4 linked regions of the Drosophila melanogaster genome follow. The protein of the gene in region 3 interacts with the protein of the main gene of each other region in a pairwise test. Each region holds a gene or a part of one and is shown on either strand. Other genes may lie near its edges.

Region 1 (3,224 bases), on a different chromosome or scaffold from region 3:
GATACGTACTTTGTACGTTTGAATCGGGCACTGTTCGAAGTGCGAAGAGCATTAAGGGATATGTGGCTGGGAAATCCCGTGCTGACCACTGTCATCTTCGGCCTGCCATTGGGATTCTTATCGCTCATCATGTACTCTATTTTCTGCGGCGATTGCTTGGTCACAGAAGAAGATCCCGATGAAGATCACGAGAAGAAGGAGTAAAGGGATAACTTAAAAATGAATCTAGTGAAAGCTTTTGATTGCGAGTGAATGTTAGAGAAAGTAAATAAGATGATCTCATAGTGCATTTCCGAGCAAGATCATAAAAAGCTAGGAACATACAAGAATATGAAATGATAAATCCCTATAAGAAGTCGTAGAAGACCCCACCCCTCCTCTAGACCACTTTTCTACCGCATATAAATGTAAGCCAAATCTAGTCCTATGTCAGTGTATGTCATTGCCGCTTGGCACGAACTTCCAATACGCTTTAAGATTCGCCATCTGACACAAAGAAGTCCATACGTATTTGGGCATCTAGTTTTGTTTCTCGTTTTAAGTTAGTAAAAGTAATAAACATGATTTAGCGGATGTGAGGAGCGGGCATAACTTAAATTAGATGTTGGGCGGAATTTCGGACGAATCAGCAGCCGTAATCCTCGTCGTCGTCGCTATCGATGGCCGCCCGCCGCCGATCGTATTTCACGGAGGACTTGCTCTGCGGCATCTGAGCATTGACGCTTTCGAGGATGCTGACGAACTGGGCGTCATCAAGTTTTCCACGCACCTGACCCATCTGGGCCATGCGGATGACCATGTTCTCGAACATTTGCGCCTTCTCCGGCTTGCTGACTTTGAGGGTATTAACTAAATGATATTTTATAAGTTATTAGCTAGAGATATTCAAGGTCTAGATCCACATACGTCGTGCCCTGGCCTGCTGGTCCAGAACTTGGGATAATATCGAGTGCTTCATTTCCTCCTGGGCGCGCATCTGCTCCTGCTGGGCTTGTTGCTTTTCCGCATCATTGCCGCCGCCCTAAAAATAGGAAAAAAGGAGTTAAGGTCATTGAAGGATTGCCCTTTAAAGAAACAGGTGTCCCAGTCGAGAAGGATGACTCATAGGGAAGGTGTCTATAAGAACTAACAAAGCATACCATTGCTAATGTATTCTTAACATTTTTATTATATTTTATATAGTCTAATTTGCTTTCATTCCAAGTTATGACTATTTTTGGAATTCTCTAGAGGAATCTAGCCGGTTTGGAGCCACTCAAATATTTCACTTACGAATTGCGACTGCATTTGGGACATGCGCTGCGCGCGTAAGGCATCCAAATCACTATCCGACATTCTGGGTTCTTATTCTCAGTATATTTATGGCAGTAAATTAAGTAATTATTGCTTTTTTTGCTTCTATAAAAATAAATCACGCTCTTTGTAGCAAAAAAAGTGTGCGATTGAACAGTGTGACCTTGCTATTCCTTGCTTATTCGTAAATCCGAATGCTCAAAATTGCGTTTGAGTAGCCCTGGTCATTCGGTGTTTTCTAGAAGAAGAAGAGTTGCGAAGAAAAATAAAATATTTGCCAAGGAAAACAAACATATTAACGAAATACCCACAAAATAAGGAACGAATTTGAATCGTTAAAAATGTCTGCACCGCTAGAGAACCTTGAGACCCAGCTAGAGATGTTCATCGAGAATGTTCGTCAGATCCGCATAATCGTAAGCGATTTTCAGCCACAGGGTCAAAATGTACTCAACCAGAAAATGTAAGAAAATGCTAAAATTTATTTGATCAAATGTCTATAAATATGTGCACCATTAGTAACAGCTTGGTGACCGGCCTACAAGAGATCGACAAGCTGCGCTCCCAGGTGCAGGACGTCTATGTGCCATTTGAAGTGTTTTTTGACTACATCGACCAAGACAAGAATCCTCAGCTGTACACCAAGGATTGCGTGGAGAAGGCACTGGCCAAGAACGAGGAGGTCAAGGGCAAGATCGAGGGCCTGAAGAAGTTCAAAACGAATCTGCTGCTGGAGCTGTATAAAACATTTCCCAATGAGATGAACAACTACCGCGCTTATCGCAAGGACTCCATGTAAGGACGTGCTCGAAGGACACGCGACCTGAACTTTAGATTGTAAGCCACATGTTGGAATAAATTTATACTTCTGTACATAAAACTCTGTGTTTCACTATCCATTAAGACTATATGTTGGTATACTTTCCTGCTCTTTGTCTGATATTTTCTTATGTATATATATAAAATGTTACTTATTAAAGACATTAATTTGTATATTTTTACCTTCCTTTTCTTTTTGCTTATATTGAACCTCTATCCTATTTGAACTTTATTAAATTGAATTGTTTCTATGAATAAGTTATACTATATTTAATTACTTAATTTCAATTAACAATTTTTAAGGTCTTACATTTTAAATAGACCAATGACTATTTAAACGTCATAAATGTCAATATTTAATAGTTAAATGAAATAGTTTAAAAAGTTTTAAGCTCGATAGTCGCAAAGCAGTAGCGTTGCCACCTTAGTTTCATATCAGCTGTTTTTTGTTATTATCAGCTTGTGTAATTAAAGGCTTCGATTGTGTATATCATTCAGTTAAATTTATTGTAGAAAATGAGTAGAGTTATTAATGGCTTTAAAAGTGCTGTAAAAGCTACAAATTATACACCGCTTGTTAGAAATGCAGCACAATTTAATCAATTCCAGTTGCCAGAAATACGGAAATTTTCAGTTGAATCTTCGCCGGCTTGTTGGAATTGCCAAAAGAAATCGGAATTAAAGCAGAATATGATATGTTCGGACTGTGGACACTTGCAGGATGTTAACTCAGGAATAGTTAGTACTTATCTACATTTTATTTGGCTAATTTAACTTTTAGTTTCTGTAGAATTACTTTAAACTGCTCAGCTTTCCCATTCAATTTTCTTTGGAGTCCCAGAAGTTGACAAGAAGTTTTCGCCAGTTGCAGACCATTGTGCATCCCGATAAATATAGTAATAAGTGGGTATAGTCATAAGTGATAAAATCAGGAAGGCAACGATAAAATCCCCTTGTTTACAGAACCTCACGGGAGCAAACAAACTCCTCAGACTGGAGTTCCCTCATCAACAAGGCATATAAAACGCTTTCCACGCCCATAGATCGTGGTCAGTACCTTCTTCAACTGGAGGGCGAACAGATGCCGCAGGATAATAGCGCTCTTAACAAAG
Region 2 (4,691 bases), on a different chromosome or scaffold from region 3:
TGTCCTGGCCCGGCGATTCCCGGTGCACTCAGCGGCTGGGCGGCGGGACAGGCGAGCGTGGGCAGCGTCGAGGGCGGACTCTGCGGAGCGTTGGTTGGAGGCGTGTTGGGCGACGAGGTGGCAAGGTGAGTTGAAACGGCATTCTGCAAGTTAAGTGGAAGACAACAACGTTGAGTGCATTTGCTTAACGGAGCTAACAAGCGTTTGGTACTAAAAATAGCTGTCCAAGTTGATTATGAACAATATGTTGTACAATAAGTAAACAAATTTGAAATAAAATAATAAATAAAATTTATAAATTTAAGTACTGCACTACTAATCCCTTGATAGCTTATAATAAAATGTTTTAAGGCCTCTTTCTAAAACGAAACTTTTTTAGAAAAATGTTCTTCATCTTTGAAGTTAATTTCAGTAAATTGATTATCCGACTTTGATCTTTTCCAATTCGTTTCTCGAGTTTATGGCGGCCATTAAGGCGCTGCTTCTTGCGCTGGATAAAAAGCCCCAATAGACGGTCTACTGTACCGCGCTACCAGCTGGCACTAAAACTTAATTAAAAACGTAGCCCCTTATCAGTGCGATAAGAGCGTCTCTTCAGTGGGATGGGTTGTGGGCTGTCCACGGGCCCTTCAGAACTGCAGAGCCTCAGAACCACAAAACTGGGATCCCAACCGATGGATTCTTCCCCCCCTACAAACTGTGCTCTCTCCTCTCTCCACTCCCGAAAACCCCTTTCCCCTGCGATCCGGCGATCTTCAAAGTGGGGCCGCCATTACCAACAAATCATGTTTTCGATTGACAACATTGATTTAAATTACACAGCCGATTGCTGCCAACGACGACAGCGGCAACAGCAACAACAACGACAAGCTGCAACAACGTCCTAAGAGCAATTTGATTGTAAGTTGTCCAATGACTGCCTGGATCGATCCTCTATATGGTATGGTATGGTATGGTATAGCATGGTATATAGTGTGTTTGTGTGTGCACATAAGCCTATCGCGCACTTTTGTCAACACTTTTAGTCAACTGAAACAACTGCAAGAGCAACAACTGCAACAACTTCAGTGGACAAGAGCAACGTACACATTCGCACACATGCGACATGGGGTAAGGAAAACAAGTTTCAGGTTTGTTTATCGCTGCCTCCTTGGTTAACTTCTCCACTTCTTGAGGCTTGGGGCTGTGGGCTTTGGGGCTCCAGGGGCTCCGGGGCTTCGGGGCTTCGGGGCTTGGAGCCGCTCTTCCCGTTTAACATTTTACAAATGATCCGAGGCGTAAGATACGATTTTTATCGCAGGCCGGCGGTCACAGTGCTGCATGTTGTATCATCGGTCGTGATTGATACCGCCACAATGTTGTCGCTGATGTTGCTGTTGCAGTTGGGATTCGGTTCGGTGTTGCGTCTCGTGCTTTCATCAAGTGACAACTCAAGTGGCCCTATGCGATTAAAAATTAATTCCCGGTGTTTGCCGGATGGCTGGATGGATCCACAATACACTCGTACGATTTCTTATCAATGCGGCTCTTTGAATCAACCGCCGATGATTATCGACTATCTATGGCTACAGGCTATAACTATAACACAACAAATATCTCAACTCGAAGTGGTCGTTTTGCGGCTAAAGTAAATTATTTTCGGGTAGCCATTATGATGGCGAGGGTAGAGTGACAGCCATTCATGTTTGTTTAAAGAGCATTTAATATTTCCGATATTCCGTTTCAGCTTTCGACTTTGCGCCACAAGTTGCTTTTACATACATATATGAAAATATATGAATATGCTCGAGTGTCGAGTGCAAGCGATTAAATTTTTGGAACAGGGATACCATATTAACTGGGGATCGTGTTACCACTGAGGGATTATTATGGCTAAAATCCTATTGGACACTCAAGTGTGACTGAGCACGATGTGCGGTGACCTTGCCAGCTTGGTTAACAACCAAAGAGACATTGATGCATAAGAGAGATTTTCCGAATTGGCAGACGGTTTTTCGCGTGTTGTTCGCCCAATGTAGCACACTTGTGGTCCTGACATTTTCAATCTGTTTTATTTTTAAATCCATGTCTTCCGTTTGCCAAATCAAAATGCTAAGGTATTCGAACCCAGAGTAATCCCACTGTTTCTGCTTTTATCTACATGTGTTGCACTGATTTGCCTCGTAGCTGAACGGGTTTTCAATCTAATTGCCACTATCCAAATGCCAGACAAGCTAAAATGCAGCGATTAACTGAACCATCTTACAAGTAATAAAAAATGGGGGAAAAAAAACAAATTGATATACGCACCATTACTAAACAGATACCGGTTTCATTACTGTGCACTGTCATTTAATATTAATTTTTGCTTTTAACTAAAACTATAAAGCAAATCTTAGAGTTACGATGCACCGATGGACTCGCGCACTGAACCGACGTATGTGTATTTAGATAGATTTATAATCCGAGTGAAGTGATTGTGATTGTGCGATCTGTGATCTTGTGATTGATCCGAACTAGTTTTTATGTTGATTTTGGATCCGGCTTGCGAGCTATTTCAGTGTTTACTTTCTTTGGGCTGTGTTTATTTTTTTTTGTTATTCGTTTCGTTGCACTGCGTTGCACTTGCCGACGGCTGCAAGGAGCTGGCCAACTCGAGTTAGCTGGCCAACACAGGCGCTACTGGGCACCGTAAATCCGTAAAATCCGACGGGCGGCTCGACGGGAATCGTTTATGTGAGTCGTTTAAATTTGTAGAATTGGTAGAATCGGTATTCGGGAGGAGCAGCTCTATCCGGAGGATGCGAAAACGAAGCACGAATGAACCAGAGGCGGCGGCAGCAAATAGTAGTATCTGGGTGTGAATCTGATTCTGTTTCTGAATCTGGGTACTGAATTTGAATCCAGCTCGCAGAACGACGGCGAGCGGCGGGCAGAGAGCACTATTATTCACACTGCGGCACTGGCACTGCGGCGGACACGAACGATACGAACAATCTGCGTAACAGTCAAAAGTAGACTAACATGAGTTTCTTGAGCAACTACAAAGTGTACGACAAATGGGAATTACACGACAACCGACAATCGAAAAACAGCGCAGCGCAACAACAAGAACAGGCCCACGCACCACCACATCGATACATAGCCCGCGCCGCGTTTGTATGTGTGAGCGAGAGAGCGCACAAACGGGTTTCTCCCCTTAATTTTTACTCGCACCTTCGCTGGTGTGCGTGCGCTCTCTTTGCTCTTTTTGAGAGCGGCCAAGTATCTGTGCGCTGGTGTGCGTGCGAAAAGTATCTGTGTGCGCTGGAAAAAGTAGCAAACGAGGCGGCACGACGACAACACGAACGGCAACAACGGCAATAATGATTATCATTATAAGTGGGCTGGCGCTCCGGCTGTGTGTGGCACTCAGGGGATTGGGATTGGAATCGGCATCGGAATCGGTATGCTACGGTAGATACCCCTCAACCCCCTACCGAAACGTAGCCACCAATCTCGCTGCAAGTGCGAGCGAGACGCAGCAAACCAGTTGGTTAGGTGGAGGGGTGGGGGCAACAAAAAAAGTATCTACCGCCTGTGTGACCATAAATAAAGTATCTGCCAGCTGCGGCCGGGCGAGAGCGGGATGGCTATAGCCGCTGCGCCGTTGGCCACGAATCGCAACCAAGCGGCAGCGACAGCGGTAGTATCGCAACTTGCTCGCGTTGGCTGTCGTCTTGCTGGCGTGCGAGCGAGATGGCATAGCAGCAGCAGCAGCAGCAGCGGCGACAAGAAGCAGCAGCAGCAGCAGCAACACCGAGAGCGGCAGAACATGAAAAAATTAACTTAACAACTAGAAAAATGGCTGTTATTGCGTGTTGTTGTAAATGCCGATGTATGTATTTGTAGGCGATGTTGTTGCTGTTGTTGTCGGCGATGATGTTGCTGCTGTTGTTGCTGCTGCTGTTGCTGTTGCAACGCTGCTACTTGCTGCTGCTGCCGCAGTTGCTGTTGCTGCTGCTGCTGCTGCCGTGGGTGTTGCTACGTGTAGTTGTTGCCATAAACAACGCAACAACAACAACAACAACAAGACGAATGTCGCGACGTATGAAAGCAAAGTGTTTACGCTCGCTTCTCGCTTTTCGCCGTTGATGAAAAAAGAAAAGCCTGATGAACATGAACGACGAGACTCGTGAAGAGGTTGGGCCAAACGCGATGGGTAATGTTTTATCATCCGCCTCTGCCGCAGTCGCTGCTACGGCCGTTCCCCTCCAGAAACCCCCTCCTCCCCCATTACCCCATCCCTTTGGCAACCAACCCCCTGCACCGCCCCTCTTGACCGCTTTGGCTCTTTGGCTGGATTGGTGGCATCTTTCGCGCTGCTCCAACAAAAAAAGAAAAAAAAAAAATCAGAAGAAAAAACGAGAAGAACAAAAATCGCCACCGCAGCTGCCGTCGCTGCTTTTGCTGCTACAACATACGCTCTTACATTTTATTATGTAGGTATTTGTTTTTTGTTTTTTGTTTTTTGTATTTTCGTACTTCGCTTCTCGTTTTTGCCGTGGCGTTTCTTTAACTTTTTCTAATTAATTGAAACGCCACTCGAGAGGAGTGACGGCAGCTGCTAGAGCGGGATGGCGTCTATGTGCTACATATGTATCTGAGTGCTGAGCACATTTGAAAGCTACTTTGTCGTTCCTGGCAATCGGTGGTTATCCCTGCTCCTGCCC
Region 3 (5,870 bases):
CCTAACATTTTTCGCATTATCACTTACATACATATACATTACAATTGTCTATCGACTCATTCGTAACTTAAACATAATAACCTAGTTGTCCCTATAGGATGGACTGTCTGTACCTCTGTTATTTACACACTGAAAGTATATGTATGTCGTAAGGAGGCTTCACAACTGAATCTCTAAATGTAATATGTAGCTACATTGTCGCTGGTCATGATTAGCTATGGAATCGAGTCTTGAAATCGCGGCTCTGGCAGAAAGTCCTCCTCCAACTCGATGCGCGTATCGCTGTGATATCCTAGCAAAGATTCCGTGTCCTCTTCCATATGTCGAATCGGAAATGTTTTGCCATCGCCAAAGCTAAAGGATATGTGGTGAATTATATCATCAGTGGGAAATTGATAAGTAATGAGTGCGTTATTGTGTATGTAATGGATTGATTGAAGATTCGGTGCTGTGCAGATGAAGCAAAGCTGTCATGTTTATTTATTTGGCAAACTAAAAACAAACCTTTATAAGTTTTAAATACTTTAAAATCCATTTAATTTCGTCACTTGCAGAAGTTCAATAATATATGTATTTGGGCATTAAGGTGTACAAAGTAAGAAAAAGTATAAAAACTTGCAAACAGTTACTAACTACATAAATTAAAACCATATGGAAATTACTGAATTCCGTGTGTGTTAATAGTGTGTACTGAAATCTCATTGCTTATCATTAGGTTTAAGTCTTGAAGATCTTTCGATATCTACAAGGATAGTTGGTTTCATGAATGCATTAGCAAGGTACAAATCTTCGGAGGATAACACCATCTCATCTACTAGGAAATTCCACATTCGATTCTTCTAATTTCCATTAAAAAATTCGATAAATGCGTGTGTGAAACCAATGACATATTGCCTAATGTTAACTTAGTCGATTATACATATGTGGTGATTTATATTATGGTCCCAGCCATTTAAACATTTAAATAGCCTACACTAAACAGCTGATGAATTGCATAGAGGTAACTTATTTGCTTACTAAGAACCGCAACGCTGACAAATCTGGCAGTTTACTTGGCTCTATGGTACAAAAACATACACATAATACATTCTACGTTATTATTTAAACTGGCAGATCGCCATTCGGCGGGCGTGGGAAGCCTTTGGCAGGATCAGCGCTTGTCAACGGATGATCTCCAATCATTTCGATGTATACGGCTGCCCCATTGACTCCACGCTCGTCCGGGCTAGACATGGCTGCTGGCGTGCTGCAGTCTAATGATTGGCCGTTTGCCAGCTTTTGCTGCCGCTCGTTGAGCTCGTCCCGGCATGTAGATGGCGGCTGGATCTGCAACAGCTGGGTTGGCAGGACGCTGGTGCTTCTTACTTGATGAGGCGATTGGTTGTGATGATGGTTAGTGGTGTCGAGGGGACTAGCGCCAATCAACTTATCTGTTGGATTGCCATCTAACCTGCTGGTGGTCGTATCTCCCATGGCATCGTACCGCTGGGTGGGAGAGCTGGTGGACACTCGACTCTGGTCGCTGGAGGTCGGATAGCTGTAGCCATCACCGCGACTAGTTCCGTGATTATGAATAAGCAGAAGGTTGGGGTATTGCGTTAAACAGAGAGTTGTAAACATAAATATTGTTTTTGTTTTTTTACAGTTTAGCTTATTGTAGTTGTAGCTGTTGTTGTTTGAGGTTTTTTTGTTATATAATTTTGCACAGATGTGTGAATACGAATGTAAAAATTTAATCGACTTTTCATGTGTGGCAAGTGTTTTGGTTTTAAAGAAACTTAATGAGCATTTAAAATTCAGAAAGTTCCGTCAGAATTTCAAACTTGGACACTTTAAGTTAGTCACTTTACGGGGCGGACAATTGGTTACTAAGCTTGTTTTGGTTAGATCTAAGTGTCTATTTCTAAAAATCGCTGGCAAAATTTGTCTCTTTTTATTTACAAAAATAAATAACGAACACAATTGAAATAAAGTGATAATTTGAATTTGGCTTAAAACTAAATTACAAAAGGAGATCGACCACATTGATTCATTGCTTTTCGGTCTCATTTTTCAGCATACACAGTTATTATGGGTTTACATAAATTATACGTGTTAGAAATTGCTTTAAGTTAATCTAAAATCTGTGATCTTCAATAGTCGTTTGTTTTTCTTAATAACTTAGCACACCAAACACACATTGAAGGATATTAAAGGTTTTAGCTACAAAGCTTTAATTTTGGAACATGCCTTTAATTTGCCGAAATCAACATAAAAACCAAAATCAAATAGCCATTAGATCAAATCTAATTAAATAAAAGTGCGCAAGAACAACAACTAATGAGTGAGAGAGCTTCTGGTGGAACTAGTAGAAATGGTGTAGTAAATGAATCGTCAAATACCTCGAAAACACGGGCAGGAACCAGTATTGCCAGTCGTCACCAAATACTTCGCAGAAATTGGCATAACGCCCCAAGTTATAACCATTCTTATCGGGGCCGCCAACGCGGAAGATCGGAGCCCTGAACGACTCTGAATGGAAGATAGATTAAAGAGGCTATGGTATGCATGTGATTTATAAGTCAGGCTTTAGGTACTTACCCAATGTCGTGCGATTCACCAGCACAAGGTAGATGTGGTAGCCAAATAAACTCACCAAACTAATGGCAAACATAATGGCAATGAAGAACAGGAACAAGATGTGAAAACGACCCATTCCACTGGCATTTAGCTGTCCCTGTGCCGAGTAACCATTATTATCGTACTTGGATCAGTAAGTACAAGCAGTTTAGATAACATTACAGCAAAACGAGAGAATACATTCATTAACTAACAGGTCTTCGCATGCAGCGGGCATTTAGGGTGGTAGCAAGAGTAGAAACGAATCGGAAACTTACTGCACCTACCTTCCAGAACTCGACAAAGTCGTGTAGCGAGGTAAAAGCCACATACAGGCAGTAGACAAGAGCATAGCCCAGGAACAACACGAAGTACTTGTAGTTGTAAAAGTTAACGCAGTTGTTTACCCAGGGGCAGTGGTGATCCATCTTCAGTACGCAGCAACTGCACACACTACAGTGGTGAGCTCGGTCTGGCTTGATGATCTTGCACTTTTCGCAGAACCGCACCGAACCATTCATTGTGCTGCAAGGCAAAGGTTTAAATATTATCAAAAATGCTTCGGAATGCGCCGTCCTAATTGTTCTGCTGCTGAGAAATGCATTTGGAAATGTCTTAATTGGGACAACTTTTAATTTCTTAGATAAAATGGTTTTGTTTGATAAAGTTATACAAATACAAATCAACTGACAAGATATAACATAACATAACGCTTACCGATTCGTTACTGGCAAATCGCGCGCAAAGTTGTTAAGAATGCGTTTCTGGGTGTCCGGGCTGTCGGCTCGGAAAAGTCGCGACACTTCCTCATCCGGTATCCTCCACTAAAAACGGGAGAAAAGCAATCGAATATTGTAGGCTTTTCCGTTTTCTTTTAATAACACGAGCTGATAAGGTGTATGATTCACTCACTTGATCTGGTATTCGGCCTACGGAGGTCATTATGGTGCGCCAGTACGACCACATGAACAGGGTGAGGAAGAGGTGGTAGAACAGAAGCATGAAGATCATACCAATGCGGTTCTCCGAGTTGCCTGAAAAAGGAAACATCAGGTTATATCCCCCCCCTACATGACTGTAAATACAACTCACGGATGCATAGCTCCACCACATAAGCGTAATAGGACCAAGCTATTACCGCGGTGATAAATAGCACTGGTATCCATTTGAAGACTGCCATACAAAATCCGCAGGGTGTCTTCCGCCGTCGATGATCGTCGTTACCCATTCTATTTATGTGGGCCACCACTTCGGCAAGGGCGCGTGTGTCTCGGGGCGTTGGTGTCACCTCCACCTGGAGCTGGAGCGGATTAGGGGCGATCGATGGGTCTGCAATTGTGGGTGCTCCTCCAGCGGTCGCTCCACTGGCCAATTCAATGTCTTTATCTTTTAGTGATTCACTGACTTCGCAAGCTGTTAACAAACGCTTTTTGACGCTATCCGCTGCTTGCTTCCCCTTTTGGGCGGACAGGTGCCTATTTCACCTTATCGCTGCGACATTTTCGGTAGTATTTCTCAGTTAATTTGCTTTTTCAGATGAAACCAACTAAATTTTGGCTGTCAAATTGGGGAAACTCAAATTGGTTTAGGGATGGGCGGTTCGTGTGTTGTGGGTGCCGTGACACGATACTATCGATTATAAGAATTTCAATTGGTAACACATTTTGGATCATCGTATTCTGCGTAGTTTTCAATATATAATTGCTTGACTTTGGATATGTTTCTGATATAAATATAATAATTCTTCATAATTATTTAGTCTCAGATTTTTATTATGGTACAATTAATTTATTTAAACATCTAACATGATCCAAGACAGATTTCCTCGTACACCCACTCTATATAATGTTTGGTATAAAATAACGTGTACATTTTGTTATGAAATTAAGAACAAATATTTCATCCCATATAAATGTTTTTAATACTTAAATAAGTAGCTGCCATCACTATTACTTATTCAAGTCTAGTATTTTTTAAAGTGTTTCCTAATATACCAAAGTGCATAGTAGTCATTCCCGGCTTGTCTATCATTTAATGAAGTACATTTGATTTTGGATATCGCCGTAATTATAAAAGAGTCCTAAATATTTTTGATCACCATGAGCCGCGAAGTGTTATCACCTCCTGTCCAAAAGATGAGCCAGAATCGGCGCTATAGAGTCAACGTTGTTCACGACGACTTCGGTGGCGACAAGTGGAATGGTCAAAACCAACGGAATAAACTAGAGTACAAAGCCTACGAAGAGCCGGGTAAGTGGATATTGTAGATTTTTAATTATCCACATTGACCACTTCTGTCCAGATCTTTATGGTGATGATGATGATGACGAGGACGATGCGGTTGTCAAATGTATTAAGGAGTCAGCAAATGGCGATTTTAGTCTTTCCATTCATGTGTCCAAGTGGGTTGAATACAAAGAACCGCTGACGATATCTCTGACACATATCCTTGCAGATCATTTTACGGTGGACTAATTGGCATGAAAGGATCTACGAAGCGCCGCATAGAGGAAGAGACCCGTACAGAGATCTTTGTTCCGCGTCCGAACGATAGGTCAAACGAAGTGACTATCAAGGCCAAGCAACGCAGTCAAGTATGCGCTGCACTGCGACAAATCCACCATCTTGTAGCCTCTTTACGAAAAAAAATGAAACCGACACACTTTTTGGCCGTGGCTCTAAACTCTGGAGAAGTCAAGGAGCGTTTTATGGAACTAAAGGTATTAGCTAAAAAAACTAGTTGTGCAAAAACTTATTTCCAATTTTCCTAGAAATGCATTTTGGAGGCCGAGTTGCCAGGCATCGATAAGGAGCTTTTCACTCCGGAGTGCTGCATTCATCTTACCTTAGGCGTCTATGTGCTGCTAGATGACATTGAACGCCAAGAAGCCCTGAAGAATCTGGAATCATGTCGTCGTTTACTGGATGGCCTTAAAATACCTTTCCAAATTAAAGTTAAGGGCCTGGAGATTATGAACGACGATCCAAGCTCCACTCGCATTCTGTATGCCCGCATCGAGTCTCCGGATCTGCAAAAGTTTGCGGATCAGTGTCTGGCCCACTTTCAGACTACAGCACTGTGCGCTACAGACAATATTGAACGTGAATCCATTAAACTGCACATGACGGTGATGAACAACCGCTACCGCAATAAGGCAAATAAATCTGGTAACAGCTTTGACGCTCGCGAGATCCTCAAGCGCTTTGGAGACTTCGATTTCGGAGTAGCCCAGTGCCAGGCTGTACATCTGTGCGTATTGAATTCGCGCTCC
Region 4 (4,689 bases), 1.7 Mb from region 3:
CGATTTGCCTACGTAAAGTGACAACGTGACGCGATGGTTGGATATGTGTATCTTTTCTAGTTTTTGTTTTTTTTTTTTTGTTTGCGGGGTTACGGGGGAAATTGCAATTCTCCGCTGGCTTTTGGTTGTTTTTAATGAGTGTGTGTGGTGTGTGGTGGTCGCCTCCTTGTTGATTTGTCCGCAGTCGGTTTGTTGTTTTCCCGCTTCTGGTGCCGCTGCATTTTTATGCGTTCGTCATCCGTTTGTCATAAAAAAGAAACATCCACTGCAGCAACATTTAATTTTTAATTTAATATCTAATCATTTTCCGTCGTCGTTGATTTTCTTTTTCACAGCTATATGTGCATTAAAAGCTGTCGCGATGCATTTGGCCACTAATGGGTTTTTCTAATTTGCCGAGACTGCCACTTCGAATAGTAAAAATCCTTCAGTCAATTTAATGAGATATTTCACTTTCGCAATCAAAGGAAGCCGAAATCGTAAATATTAAGTAACTAACATTCATCGTAAGTAGAAGATTACAATTTGAAGTGGAATCAAAGGCATTTGTCGGATCGCAGCCTATAAAATGCCGACGGCTTTTTCTGAGCACTTGCATTTAACTCATAGATATCACGATTTCTAAACACTGGTCTTAGCTTTAATACTTGAAGATTTGTTTATAATTAAAGAACCGAAATGTTTATAGAAACCATTTAACTGCAACAGTACTTTACTTTATTATAAAAGTCAGAGTTGGTTGTTGCATAATTCGATAGGGATTTGAAGCTATCAATTTATGTAACATAAGTTACTTAATAAACCAAATTTCAACAAACAATACAGTGCATAATGGAAAAATGTATGATATGAACTTTACAAGATCTTCAAAATCATGCGTGAAGATATCTAATGTAATTTGTGCATTGAAACCTGCGCTCAAGTACGTGGAAACCTTAAAGATAAATACCAGCTCATTGGGCCACAGTATGCACCCGCTGAATGTCATTCCAGAGTTTGGCCAATGCATCTGTGGGGGCCAGTGCAACTGCGAGCCCAGTTAATTCTCGCTAAATAATTGCCAACGATAACGAGGCGTGTGTAATGTGTAGTTGGGAGCAGGGCAATGGCAATAGCTAACTCTGCTTGGCAACGACAATGGAGCAGGCAACAAAGAGGCTAAATTCTGTATTAATTTGCAATTAATGCAGCTAATTATATTTAATTAAATGAGCGGGCCACGCTAACAATGCACTGCATAGATACGTTTTCTACTCGGATGCCGATGAGGGAAGGGCGGTGGGATCTGCGGGATCGCTGGGATCGGTTGAATCGGTGGAAACGGCGGCGGCAGCAGGGATCCAAAGTGGAGCTGAGGGGAGGGGAATCCAAGCAGAGCTTGGACAGTGGGAAAAATGTAGCGCAGGTTGGTGCGGCTTTGAAATGAAACTGATTATTACAATTGTTGTTACGCCCGCTGGCGCTGTTGTTAGTGCGAATTGTGCGCCGCTGCTGCTGTTTATTGTATCTCATAGATACGTTTAGATTATTTTTTGCAAAAATGACACTGAGCCACCGGCAAGTCAATTGTAATACGTTTTAGTAATTTTTCGTGGGGTGGCAGCAGTCGCAAGGCTCAGCACATTAAACTATTTATGTGTAGAGTTTCATTCTGATTTCGTTTTAGCGATCGTTTGATGAGCCTCATTGTTGCAAATTGCCACTGTCCACTGCCGTCGAGCCGTATTATTAGTTTGTTTGTGGCTATTTATTATATTTGGTTTTATTATTAGAACGTCGCAACTATTTTTGAGACCCTCGCCAAGTTTGCTCATGCACATGCCCCCATGCTCATGCCGGTCCAACGATAATGCTGATGTTGATAAAATTAACGTTAATTAAAGTTATTAACCGCCTGCAGCGAAATCGCATCAATTTATTGGTTTTTGCATACTACCATGTCAGGGTTGAGATTTACATAAAAACTGCATTTGGCTGTTTCGAGCAATATTCGAGTGAGTGGAGTGCGTGAGAGGCTAAAAAGGTTTGATATTTCTAACTTGATAATGATGATGAGCACTTCACTTAAATGTCTTTTTTTATTGCAGCCCCATTATTTAGCTTACCATTTTGGGTTGAGTAGCTGCCATAACGTTCAGCCATGCAGATTTTTTAAGCTTTGTAATAAGCCGGAAATTTTGAGATTTATTTAAATATTTCCGAAATTCATCCGCTAAAATGTCCAACCACTGACACACGTAAAAATTTGGCGTATGGAAATTTTATCAAATCAGAAATATATATAAAAGTTTTAAAATTACTTTTATTATGATATTACAATTAATTTTAGTAAATCAATTATATACATGTGAATATATATATATGTGAAAAAAACTGTTTCAGACTATTGGGAAGACCATTTATAATTACTTTAATACCTCTAAAATTTGGTTCCCATAAAAGATTTTAAACTGATGATAGTCAATTGCATGATATACTTCTTCAAAACATATAATATAAATTCACAAGAGCTTAAATCAAGTACTTTGAGATATTTACCGTTATTTACAGATTCGCAAGCTGTTGCCAAAATCAACGAAAGAGTTTTTATGTTCCACTAGCTTTTCCTGAATCCTGTTTTTCATTCACCTTTTAATGGTCGTTTGGTTTTGATGTGTAATTTCTTAACTCTTATCACAATTGAGCACTGTATTCAAAGTATTCATGAGTACCTATGAGTGTAGCAACGAGTATCTGACAGATGGTTATCACCCACGCACTTCAGATGAGACGATCGCAACGCGCCAAAAATTCGGAACTGAGTAGTTTCGAAACGGATTCAAAAATCGCGGAGCAACGGCTGTACAAAACACATGGGGCTCAAAAGTTGCAGTGGCAGCTGTTAAAGATGAATCGTGGGCACACGCCGAAGTTTATTTGCTTGGGTATTGTATGTTGCACTTTGGTTGTTTGTTTGTTGCACGAGTCGAGGGGCGTCCAAGATATATGTGGCCGTTCAATGCGATTCCGGTTCAGATCAGCCGTCGTACGTTCAGGCGCAGCGTCGTCCGTCGACTGAATGAACGTGTGGCGCACGAGCGGCGCTTTGGACCCCCAGCAATCGCAATCATCAGCATAAGTAGCAACAGCAAAGGAGCAGCAGCAACAACAGCAGCAACAACATCGGCAAACACGAGCAAACAAAACGAAGGCGAGGAACCCGAAGCCGCAGGCCCAGCTCAGCGGGTGCGAGCGAGAAAGCGACCGGGGTCTCTCTCACTCACTGCCTCTCGTTCTCTCTCGCTCTGGCTCTCTCTCTGTCGCTCTCTCGCCCACCCCCTAGCCCAAGCCCCACTGGCGGTGCAGCGACGCCGGCAGAGCGCCGACTGCGCAGGAGCAGCAACGGTATATATGCAATTTGCTTGGCACTGTTAAAATAAAAATAATGACGTCATTAAGCGCACAAATGAGCGGCGCTGCTGCTGCAGTCGACGTCGACAGCGCTGCCGGCGCAGACTGAGCTTATAACTGTTGTTCTGAGAAGGAGAAGTTGCACACTTGACGAAAGGCGAGCACTTAACGACGGCGAGGCAGAGATAGAAAGAGAAGGAGAGCGGTCGCGCGAGGGAGAGGGCGCGAGTGTGGGTGAGCGCTTTTGTGAGCGCATTTTGAGCATTTATTACAGCTAAACATTGCACTTTTTACACCGAACGGTGGGAGCGCATTTAGATTCTACATACATATCTTTGGAGATTTGCAAAATAATATTCAAAATCTTTAAACTGTTTGACATAATTTTAAATCCACTTGTACAAATTAACAATGCTTAATTATAATGGAAAAGTAGGAAGTCACCGCAATTTAAAAATCAATAAAATTTATTTTTATTTTTCATTTTATCGTACCAATTTAGAAACTTAATTATGATTTTCTTAATAAATGCCACAACCTCTCTCAACACACAACAACTTAGAATTTATTTTAAGCTTCAGAGGAAATTGTTGGATAAACCAAACCTGTGATATGCATCACAAGACGACTTGTCAAATGCCCCGAAATTTCACCCCAGCTCGACCCCTCGACAACTATTGCTGGGAATTAATAATTTAGGTCTCGATCCGCAGAGCAGAGCCAATGCCAAAAGCTCCAGTCACTCAGCTCGTCGGTCAAAACCCCACTCGAAGCCCAGAACCCTCTTGCTACCACTCCAGCCCTCCGTCCACCGTCCTCCAACTCCCACCCACCCACAATGTGACGTGTGCCGGGTCTAGTGAACCACACCCCTCCGCCCCTTTTGCAACGGCTCGAACCGCTTCCAGAAAACCGAAAAGTGCCAATAAATATGGAAACGTTTTGCCTTGTTCTGCCCACTCTTCCTCCCACTCTTCCACCCAATTCTCTGCCATCCCTCTCTGCCACGTCTTCTGCTCCTTCTTCGGCACTCTTTCATCTCCACTGGCAAAAACTTTACCAAATTTCAATTCAATTTATAAGAAAGGCGGTTCTCACTTTGGGTAACATAAAAAGAACGTGATAATTAGATCCAAATTACAAAAACATTAATTTCATAAAATTAAATTTTAAATTTTCACATTAGTTAAATTAGTAACTAATATATTTTATTTTTATTTTATTAATTTATAAATTGGATACTACTGATATTATTGATTGCACGTAGGTTACTATACCTTTTATTCTCCATATAATACA

The links.
Region 1: the proteins of CG1407 (region 3) and PDCD-5 interact in a two-hybrid assay, tested with the Drosophila melanogaster proteins (one large-scale study listed by BioGRID).
Region 2: the proteins of CG1407 (region 3) and mirr interact in a two-hybrid assay, tested with the Drosophila melanogaster proteins (one large-scale study listed by BioGRID).
Region 4: the proteins of CG1407 (region 3) and pdm3 interact in a two-hybrid assay, tested with the Drosophila melanogaster proteins (one large-scale study listed by BioGRID).

What each region holds. Positions count from the first base shown.
Region 1 is NT_037436.4:16,230,568-16,233,791, forward strand, and holds PDCD-5 (programmed cell death 5), read right to left. Parts: upstream 1,472-3,224; 5' UTR 1,336-1,471; coding exon 1,273-1,335; intron 1,022-1,272; coding exon 907-1,021; intron 850-906; coding exon 626-849; 3' UTR 514-625; downstream 1-513. Other genes in the region: Tmx3 (Thioredoxin-related transmembrane protein 3), read left to right, coding at 1-204; MED10 (mediator complex subunit 10), read left to right, coding at 1,635-1,756, 1,813-2,092; Hsc20 (heat shock protein cognate 20), read left to right, coding at 2,629-2,850, 2,903-3,015, 3,076-3,224.
Region 2 is NT_037436.4:12,691,952-12,696,642, reverse strand, and holds the start of mirr (mirror), read right to left. Parts: upstream 3,005-4,691; 5' UTR 2,332-3,004; coding exon 2,290-2,331; intron 144-2,289; coding exon 1-143.
Region 3 is NT_033778.4:10,028,704-10,034,573, forward strand, and holds CG1407 (uncharacterized protein), read right to left. Parts: upstream 4,191-5,870; 5' UTR 3,827-4,190; coding exon 3,691-3,826; intron 3,633-3,690; coding exon 3,511-3,632; intron 3,423-3,510; coding exon 3,316-3,422; intron 3,124-3,315; coding exon 2,877-3,123; coding exon of another isoform or gene 2,805-2,876; exon of another isoform or gene 2,744-2,804; coding exon 2,581-2,743; intron 2,512-2,580; coding exon 2,382-2,511; intron 1,966-2,381; exon of another isoform or gene 1,556-1,965; coding exon 1,102-1,555; 3' UTR 560-1,101; downstream 1-559. Other genes in the region: CG12129 (uncharacterized protein), read left to right, coding at 4,698-4,848, 4,901-5,000, 5,054-5,318, 5,370-5,870.
Region 4 is NT_033778.4:8,325,857-8,330,545, reverse strand, and holds the start of pdm3 (pou domain motif 3), read right to left. Parts: upstream 3,057-4,689; 5' UTR 2,539-3,056; intron 1-2,538.